Linked DNA regions of Saccharomyces cerevisiae S288C. The protein of the gene in region 2 interacts with the protein of the main gene of each other region in a pairwise test. Each region holds a gene or a part of one and is shown on either strand. Other genes may lie near its edges. The genes, in order: YBR053C, GRX3 and BOL1.

Region 1 (3,428 bases), on a different chromosome or scaffold from region 2:
GAGAAAAGTCCGCAGAACGACCACTCGAGGGTAAGAAAAAAACAGCTCAGATTTCCTATTTGAGGCAAATTATGCGGAAATTGAAGAATCGAAAATCACGGAAGTGGTACCAAAATCGGTAGGTTGTTTTCAATTTACCCTTTTTTTCCATTCCCTCATTTAGAACCCATAGCGAGGTCGAAATATCCCTTAGCCATTGGTGTGATGTCTATAGTTATTTCCCTCAGTCAACCCAAAGCAAGATTTACATTGTGTTAACGTATGCCGTGATATGAACAAACACACCGGCCTACATAGCTAAGTTAATCAAAGAAGGTGTAGATAAACTAGGTTACATAACTGCCTATTGGCAAGCTTTCTTGCTATCTTAACAGCAAAGCTCTTAAGTCGTGATCTTCTCTTCTGATTCTCTTCCGATGGCATATAGATTTGAAGACGACAAGGAAAGCTAAGCAACTTCCTAGTTTTCGTCTAAAAAAACCGAAGGTTTTTCCGGTGATTTTCGGAAACATGCAGAAGAGTCCTTAGAAATCTTAGGTAAATTCACTCGGCATGTCTGCTAAAGATCGGTCTAGGCCATGCGCGTAAAACGGGAAAGGGTTCGCTCAATGGCAGATGCTGCCATACGAGGACACAACCAAGATGAGGCCTCCCAAAGCGGTACTCGCGTTAAGAAAGAAGGGCTTTGGAGGCAACCGGGTAGGGTGTCTTCTTTGTAAAGTTTGTCTAATGTTGGAGAATGGTTGCCACCCGGGGAAGAAAACTGCTCAGGGCGGATAACAGGAAAATAACATGTTGCGTGCACTTGTTTCCGTTGAAGGGAGATGGAAAGACTACTTAAAACAAAGTAAAGAAAAACATCTCAAAAATATTGAGAGAAAATGTGGTCCAGGAACCAAAGATGGTATACTATTTTGCTTTAGTTTATTTTTGCCTTCTTGTTTAATTATTACTCAATTGGTATATGTAATTGAGTAAATATACAAATTGTAGCTTGTGTTTTTGTTTTTCACAAATGACATCGGTATGTATTTTTCAACATATCTTCGCCATTTCTGTGAGCTATTCCGAACACCGCTTGAAACGATTTGTATTTTGCACAATCGTCATCGAAGTTCAAAAGTCAATTGCTTTTCCTAATAGAGTTAAAAGTCGGTCTACGAAAGTAAAATGTATACTCAGTAAGAGCGGTCTTTGTCTACAGTTCTCCAAAGTGGTAGTTATATCGGGAATGGGTAAATGCATTACACAACAACAAGGAGTTCTAAAAGAGTAACTGTGAACGCCAAAGGAAAAGATATAAAAAAAGTATGTCCCTTTTTAATACCTTTTTCGTTAAGCCGCTACAGCTACCTCTTGACTAACTGAGAAGCTGAATGGATAAGGAACAAAATCGTACGTAAATTTTCTCATCCATTTTACTTGGTCAACAGATTCTATAATTGTAAAGCTGTAGCTTGCACTTGATTTTGTTCCTAGAAATGCATTCAAAATTATTTAATGGTCGCCAAGAACAGCTAGGTGAAAGTTTACCCGGTCGGGCTTTAAGGGGAAGCCAATGCTTATTCAAAGCATATGGACATATATGAAGATGTCCTGTAAGATTCTTAGATTAAGTTTATATGCATTGAGCAACTAGACACTTTTCGTAAAATGAGTAGTGTTGGCGATTTTGAAGAAATTATTTTGCATGATTTAAAACCTTATTATCACGTTCCCGGTGCCATACATAGTGAAGGAATAACCTTCGTTAAGGAAACCGGTACACTGTTGTGGGTTGATATTTTTAAAGGAGAGGTTCATAAAGTCGAAGACATAGAACAGCCTGAATCCAGTCATTCTTTTTTTTCCATTAGTAGAGCCAATTATGGCAAGAATGCGTCAATTGAGTACCCTCCCAATCCAGATGAATTAAAAGAATCCGTGGGCTGTATATTTCCAATACTTGATGGGGCTTCACAAAATGAAATCAAACAAGTATTATTTGGTAGTAAATTTGGCATAGGAAAATTGGATTTTAGCAAAAGTGAATGGGAATATGTCATTTTGTATTCCGAATGTCCTGAATTGAGTACAGACAGAGCATATAAGTTGAGATCTAATGATGGGAACGTTTCGCCAGATGGAAAATATATTTATGTGGGGCTAATGAGCGATTTTCCATTTGATTTGGAACCTATTGGGTGTTTGCTTCGTGTTGACCTATTAGCTCACAAGATAGAGCTTGTTTGGAATTGCTTGTTAATTCCTAACGCGATCCACTGGGATGAAAGTGATCAAAAGACGATGTACGTGACTGATTCTTTAAACTTCACTATTTGGAAATGTCCTGGTGGCGACTTGCTAAAACGTGACGAGTTAATTGACGTGAAGAACTCCAACAATCAATCTTTTGAGTCTCCTGAACCAGATGGAAGTGCAATTTGGTTTAGCAAAGACGGAAAACATTCTGGGTTTCTGTTTATCACTGTCTGGTCCACCAGTAAGGTTCAAATGTTCGATTTAACTAACGGAAAATTGCTGAAGGAGTTCATTTTGCCGGAGCAGACACCAAGAGTTTCATGTTGTTGTTTTGTTGGTAAAGATCTCTTCGTGACCACTGCCAATGCAGAAATCAACGATGCTGTAAGAACCAATACTGACAAGAATGGTGGCTGCATCTACAAAATTCCAAACGTGCTAGACGGAAATGTTCCTCTGGAATCTACAAAGCGACAACCTCTCCACTAGGTGTATATACATATGTTTATATATATGCAGCATACGTATCCAGCGCATGTAACTAGCGTCATATGACACCGCTTATGGGCAAATTGAAGCGAAGCTCCCAAACTTGTCCTTATACATCGAATAATAGCCGTTCCATTTTGGTTGCCTAGTTATAAGGAGGGAACACCTAAGGGGCGGACAATCAAAAATACATAAAAGAGCGGAAAAGAAAAGAAATAAAAAGAAACCACATTTTATATCACACTTTTCTCGAGAAACATCGAACATCAAGACCTCCAGCATACTACTCACTATTATAAGCACATACTACGCCACATAGATAATGCCGAAAGTCGCTATTTTGATTTATTCAGTGGACGATATAATTGCCACATTAGCAGAAAATGAAAAAAAAGGTATAGAGATAGCTGGTGGTGAGGCTGAGATTTTCCAAGTGCCAGACGTCAGCTATAAAACTGAATATGCGACAGAAGAGGGAAAAGAGGCAGCCAAAGTCGCCAAAACTAATGCAGATTTTTCCTATAAAATCCTAACAAGAGAAACGTTGGTTGAGTACGATTACTACTTATTCGGAATACCTACTAAGTTTGGAAACTTCCCCGCGGAGTGGAAAAGCTTTTGGGACTCGAATACTGGTGGGCTTTGGGCAAAGGGTTCTCTCCATGGCAAAATTGCCGGTTTGTTTGTTTCAGGCGCAA
Region 2 (3,118 bases):
CAACACTCAAGAAACAATACGATACAAAGATAATAAATCTGGGTGAAGGTGATAACGAAATTCAGTACGACATACTTGGATTAGAGATCAAATATCAAAGAAGCAAGTACATGAAATTAGGTATGGAAAAATCCTTGACAGAAAAATTACCCAAACTAAACGTACCTTTGAACCCAAAAGGAAAGAAACTTAGAGCTCCAGGTCAACCAGGTCATTATATAGACCAGGATGAACTAGAAATAGATGAAGATGAATACAAAGAGAAAGTGCATGAAATGCAAAAGTTGATTGGTCTAGCTTCATATGTTGGATATAAATTTAGATTTGACTTACTATACTACATCAACACACTTGCTCAACATATACTATTCCCCTCTAGGCAAGTTTTAGACATGACATATGAGTTAATACAATTCATGTGGGACACTAGAGATAAACAATTAATATGGCACAAAAACAAACCTACCAAGCCAGATAATAAACTAGTCGCAATAAGCGATGCTTCATATGGTAACCAACCATATTACAAGTCACAAATTGGTAACATTTTCCTACTCAACGGAAAAGTGATTGGAGGAAAGTCGACAAAGGCTTCGTTAACATGCACTTCAACTACAGAAGCAGAAATACACGCAGTCAGTGAAGCTATTCCGCTATTGAATAACCTCAGTCACCTTGTGCAAGAACTTAACAAGAAACCAATTATTAAAGGCTCACTTACTGATAGTAGATCAACGATCAGTATAATTAAGTCTACAAATGAAGAGAAATTTAGAAACAGATTTTTTGGCACAAAGGCAATGAGACTTAGAGATGAAGTATCAGGTAATAATTTATACGTATACTACATCGAGACCAAGAAGAACATTGCTGATGTGATGACAAAACCTCTTCCGATAAAAACATTTAAACTATTAACAAACAAATGGATTCATTAGATCTATTACATTATGGGTGGTATGTTGGAATAAAAATCAACTATCATCTACTAACTAGTATTTACGTTACTAGTATATTATCATATACGGTGTTAGAAGATGACGCAAATGATGAGAAATAGTCATCTAAATTAGTGGAAGCTGAAACGCAAGGATTGATAATGTAATAGGATCAATGAATATTAACATATAAAACGATGATAATAATATTTATAGAATTGTGTAGAATTGCAGATTCCCTTTTATGGATTCCTAAATCCTCGAGGAGAACTTCTAGTATATTCTGTATACCTAATATTATAGCCTTTATCAACAATGGAATCCCAACAATTATCTAATTACCCACATATATCTCAATAACAAAACGAACAACATGAGATAAAACACGGCCTTCCCTAGCTGAACTACCCAAACGTATAAATGCTTGAACAATTAGTTTAGATCCGAGATTCCGCGCTTCCACCACTTAGTATGATTCATATTTTATATAATATATAAGATAAGTGACATTCCGTGAATTAATCTGATAAACTGTTTTGACAACTGGTTACTTCCCTAAGACTGTTTATATTAGGATTGTCAAGACACTGCGGTATTACTCGAGCCCGTAATACAACAATACACAGTTGTTACGGTCCTATAGTGTAGTGGTTATCACTTTCGGTTTTGATCCGGACAACCCCGGTTCGAATCCGGGTAGGACCTTTTTTAACTGTGGCTTCTCTGTTGAACCATCAGTTACTTTTTTTTTTTTTCAGAGAATGTGTGCCGGGTCATGAGATGCCAAACTAAGAGGTCATTAAAATATATTTCAAAGACTAAATGTGTTCTTTTCAGGTTCCATCTGCATTTTCTTTTAACTACACCTCGTACTGTTATAAACGCCACCAAGCAAGATATTACACAGCAGCAAAACTTTTTCAGGAAATGCCTGTTATTGAAATTAACGATCAAGAGCAATTTACTTACCTAACTACCACTGCGGCCGGCGACAAGTTAATCGTGCTTTATTTCCATACCAGTTGGGCAGAACCATGCAAAGCATTAAAGCAGGTTTTTGAGGCCATTAGTAATGAGCCTTCCAATTCCAACGTCTCTTTCTTATCCATTGATGCGGACGAAAACTCGGAAATTTCAGAACTTTTTGAAATCTCAGCTGTTCCATATTTTATCATAATTCACAAAGGGACAATCTTAAAAGAATTATCCGGCGCGGATCCAAAGGAGTATGTGTCTTTATTAGAAGACTGCAAGAACTCAGTCAATTCCGGATCATCACAAACTCATACTATGGAAAATGCAAACGTAAATGAGGGGAGTCATAATGATGAAGACGATGACGACGAAGAAGAGGAAGAAGAAACTGAGGAGCAAATAAACGCTAGATTGACTAAATTGGTCAATGCCGCGCCGGTAATGTTATTTATGAAGGGGAGCCCCTCTGAACCTAAATGCGGGTTTTCGAGACAACTTGTGGGTATCTTGAGAGAACATCAAGTAAGATTTGGCTTCTTTGATATATTAAGAGACGAATCTGTTAGACAAAACTTGAAAAAGTTTTCTGAATGGCCAACTTTCCCTCAACTTTATATAAATGGGGAGTTTCAAGGCGGTTTAGACATTATCAAGGAATCCTTGGAGGAAGACCCTGATTTTTTGCAGCATGCTCTCCAATCTTAAATAAATAGATGTATTTAGTGTAAATTGAAACAGAAAAGTCTCCATTTCCAACTAATGGTATGCAAGCATTTTTATATGTGTGACATAATGAATGGCTTCTGGTTAAGTTTGGCTTTTTGAACAACCATTGCCCGGAGAAAATAAACGCGTGAGCAGTAGCTGATACGCGTCTCACTTTTTCATAAATTCATGTATAGGTCATCGCCATATAGAGAAAATATTTGAAATTACATCTGTTGAAACTAATAAGAGCTTTTCCTTGGAGCCTTCTTTGCTAACAGATAAGATTTTTTAATTGGAGCAACTAGTTAATTTTGACAAAGCCAATTTGAACTCCAAAATGGCCCCAGCTACCCCTAAAACTTCTAAGACTGCACACTTCGAAAATGGCTCCACATCTTCTCAAAAGAAAATGAAGCAATCGAGTTTGTTATCTTTTTTCTCAAAACAGGTACCTTCTGGCACACCGTCAAAGAAGGTCCAGAAGCCTACTCCAGCGA
Region 3 (2,538 bases), on a different chromosome or scaffold from region 2:
CATCCCAAGGACCTCAAGCCGTGAGGTACACTTCCCAACATGAGTGGATAGCTGTGCATCAGGACAAGACTGCCTTTGTCGGAATTACAAAATACGCCACTGATGCCTTAGGGGACGCTACCTATGTTGAGTTGCCAGAAGTGGGCACTGAGATTGCCCAAGGTGAGTCGCTAGGGTCCATTGAGTCCGTCAAGTCAGCCTCCGAGATCTACCAGCCTGCCGATGGTACCGTAGAGGAAATTAACACTAATCTTGAGGAAAATCCAGGTGTGGTGAACGAAGATCCTATGGGTGACGGCTGGCTAGTCAAAATGAAGCTTGGTGAGGGCGTTAATGTGGAACAGGTCGAGGGTCTAATGTCCTTAGAACAGTACGAAAAGACACTGGTTCATGATGACTGAACAAAGCTTATACGTACGTAAAGTAATTTCATATATATGTATATATATGTAGGGGAAATAAAACAATAAACTCAACGTGTACACTTATGCTTATGCATTCTATTTCGCTTTGGATTCATACTCCTGTGGGGTCTTTAGTGACAATTGTAAAGCATGGATACCGTTCGCCTGAGCCATCTCGTCTTGCAAGAGGGAATAAACCATACGATGGCGTTGTGGAAGTTTCAGGCCTTCGAACTTTTTACTGACCATCTCAATCCGGAAATGTGTCTCAGCAGAGACATTTCCCTGTACACCAGCATGGCCCTTATGCTTGTGAGAATCGTTGTAGAGGCCAAACGCAAAGTTCTTGTAATCTGGAAAGCCGCATTCCAGTCTCTTCAGGATGGTACGTGCCACGGGACCATCTGTGCTCATTGCTCTCTTGAACATTATTCTCTTTCCACTTTCGTTTGCTGCTAACGATGCTATTCTCTTTTTGATTCGTCATTCCGGAACATATATAAGTTTCTTTATTTGGTCACTGAGAACCATAAAAGCGAAAAGAGAAGGTAAAACATAGAAATGAAGCTCCCACAGACCATGCTACGTTCTATATCTGTGAAGCATGTCCGGTGGCCAAGGATTCTGACGGGCTCAAAGCTTTGGTACTCAACGCAGATGGCAATGACTCCGGAGGAGAAGATGATCACCGATAAACTACAACAGGAACTGGAACCTGAAGTGTGTAAAGTGCAAGACGTTTCCGGTGGCTGCGGATCCATGTTTGCTATCAACATAACAAGCAAGAAGTTCAACGGACTGAGTCTCATCAAGCAGCACCAGCTGGTGAACAGAATTTTGAGGGACGATATTTCCAGATGGCATGGCCTACAATTGACCACTAAGAAGTCAACTGGGAAGGGTCCGGCATCATCATGAACAGTTTGGAACCAAAAAAGCTCGTGTAAGTATCACTTTTAGTTTACTTTTGCTTCCCTCTGTGTATATTCTTTATATATGTATTTATTATTTTAATTGAAATCGCGAAATTTCACATAAGCAACACTAATATCAAAAAACTAAGCAAACAACATAAGGAAAGTTATAGCCATGGTACGTCGATGGATTCCTAGTGGCAGGCATCTTCGCAATAATGACAACACTGGTGATGATGACGACAGCGAGTTCACAAACTCGATGGATTCTGGGATGTCCATACCATCACTCAGGGACTCCATGACCACGAGGTCATCTCATAACGATCCCATCAAGCCTGCTCTGATGAACGATTCCAACAAAGTCAAAAATTTGGAGAAGGAGTTGACTAATGCCAAAATCAAGATTCAAGTACTCTATGAATACATTCGCAGAATCCCTAATAAAGACGGCAATGCACCATCGCTGGGCAATGACACTGATTTTAGAAATTCGATTATCGAGGGTCTAAATCTTGAAATAAACAAATTGAAACAGGATTTAAAGGCGAAGGAAGTCGAGTACCAAGATACGCTACAATTCGTTCAAGAGAATTTAGAAAATTCGGAAAGTATCGTGAATACGATCAATCACCTATTGTCCTTTATATTGACGCATTTTAATGAGCAAGATGAAAATGCCCATCTTCTTGATAAAGAAGAGAGGGAGACCCTGGAGGAAACTTTAGAGCTGAGCTCGGATTATGTTCTTGAAAAAATGGATACTTTGTCCAAGTTCATCATCCAATTCTTGCAGGACTTTTTGCATTCCAAAAGTCGAGCGGAATCAAAGCAGGATAAGGAAGAATTTCTTTCACTGGCCCAGTCCTCACCAGCAGGATCACAGTTAGAAAGTAGGGACTCACCATCAAGTAAAGAGGAGAATACTGATGGTGGATACCAGAATGACGAAATTCATGACAGTAACAACCACATTGATACAGAAAATGTAATGGCAAACAGTACTTCCTTACCAATTTCAGCCGTCGAGTCTCGTTTTGAGAAAACCTTAGACACTCAATTAGAGATTGTCATAGAAAATTTGCACAAAGAATATGATCAATTTATAAATTCCATTAGATTGAAATTCGAGAAATCGCAAAAATTAGAAAAAATAATAGCGTCCAAACTAAATGAGCAGTCTCATCTACTAGATTCCTTAGAATTGGAAGAAAATTCTA

The links.
Region 1: the proteins of GRX3 (region 2) and YBR053C interact in a protein complementation assay, tested with the Saccharomyces cerevisiae proteins (one large-scale study listed by BioGRID).
Region 3: the proteins of GRX3 (region 2) and BOL1 interact in a two-hybrid assay, tested with the Saccharomyces cerevisiae proteins (one large-scale study listed by BioGRID).

What each region holds. Positions count from the first base shown.
Region 1 is NC_001134.8:338,977-342,404, reverse strand, and holds YBR053C (regucalcin), read left to right. Parts: upstream 1-1,653; coding exon 1,654-2,730; downstream 2,731-3,428. Other genes in the region: RFS1 (flavodoxin-like fold family protein), read left to right, coding at 3,053-3,428.
Region 2 is NC_001136.10:643,678-646,795, reverse strand, and holds GRX3 (monothiol glutaredoxin GRX3), read left to right. Parts: upstream 1-1,865; coding exon 1,866-2,618; downstream 2,619-3,118. Other genes in the region: mismatch repair ATPase MSH6, read left to right, coding at 2,959-3,118.
Region 3 is NC_001133.9:55,813-58,350, reverse strand, and holds BOL1 (Bol1p), read right to left. Parts: upstream 834-2,538; coding exon 501-833; downstream 1-500. Other genes in the region: GCV3 (glycine decarboxylase subunit H), read left to right, coding at 1-401; BOL3 (Bol3p), read left to right, coding at 966-1,322; gamma-tubulin complex subunit SPC72, read left to right, coding at 1,494-2,538.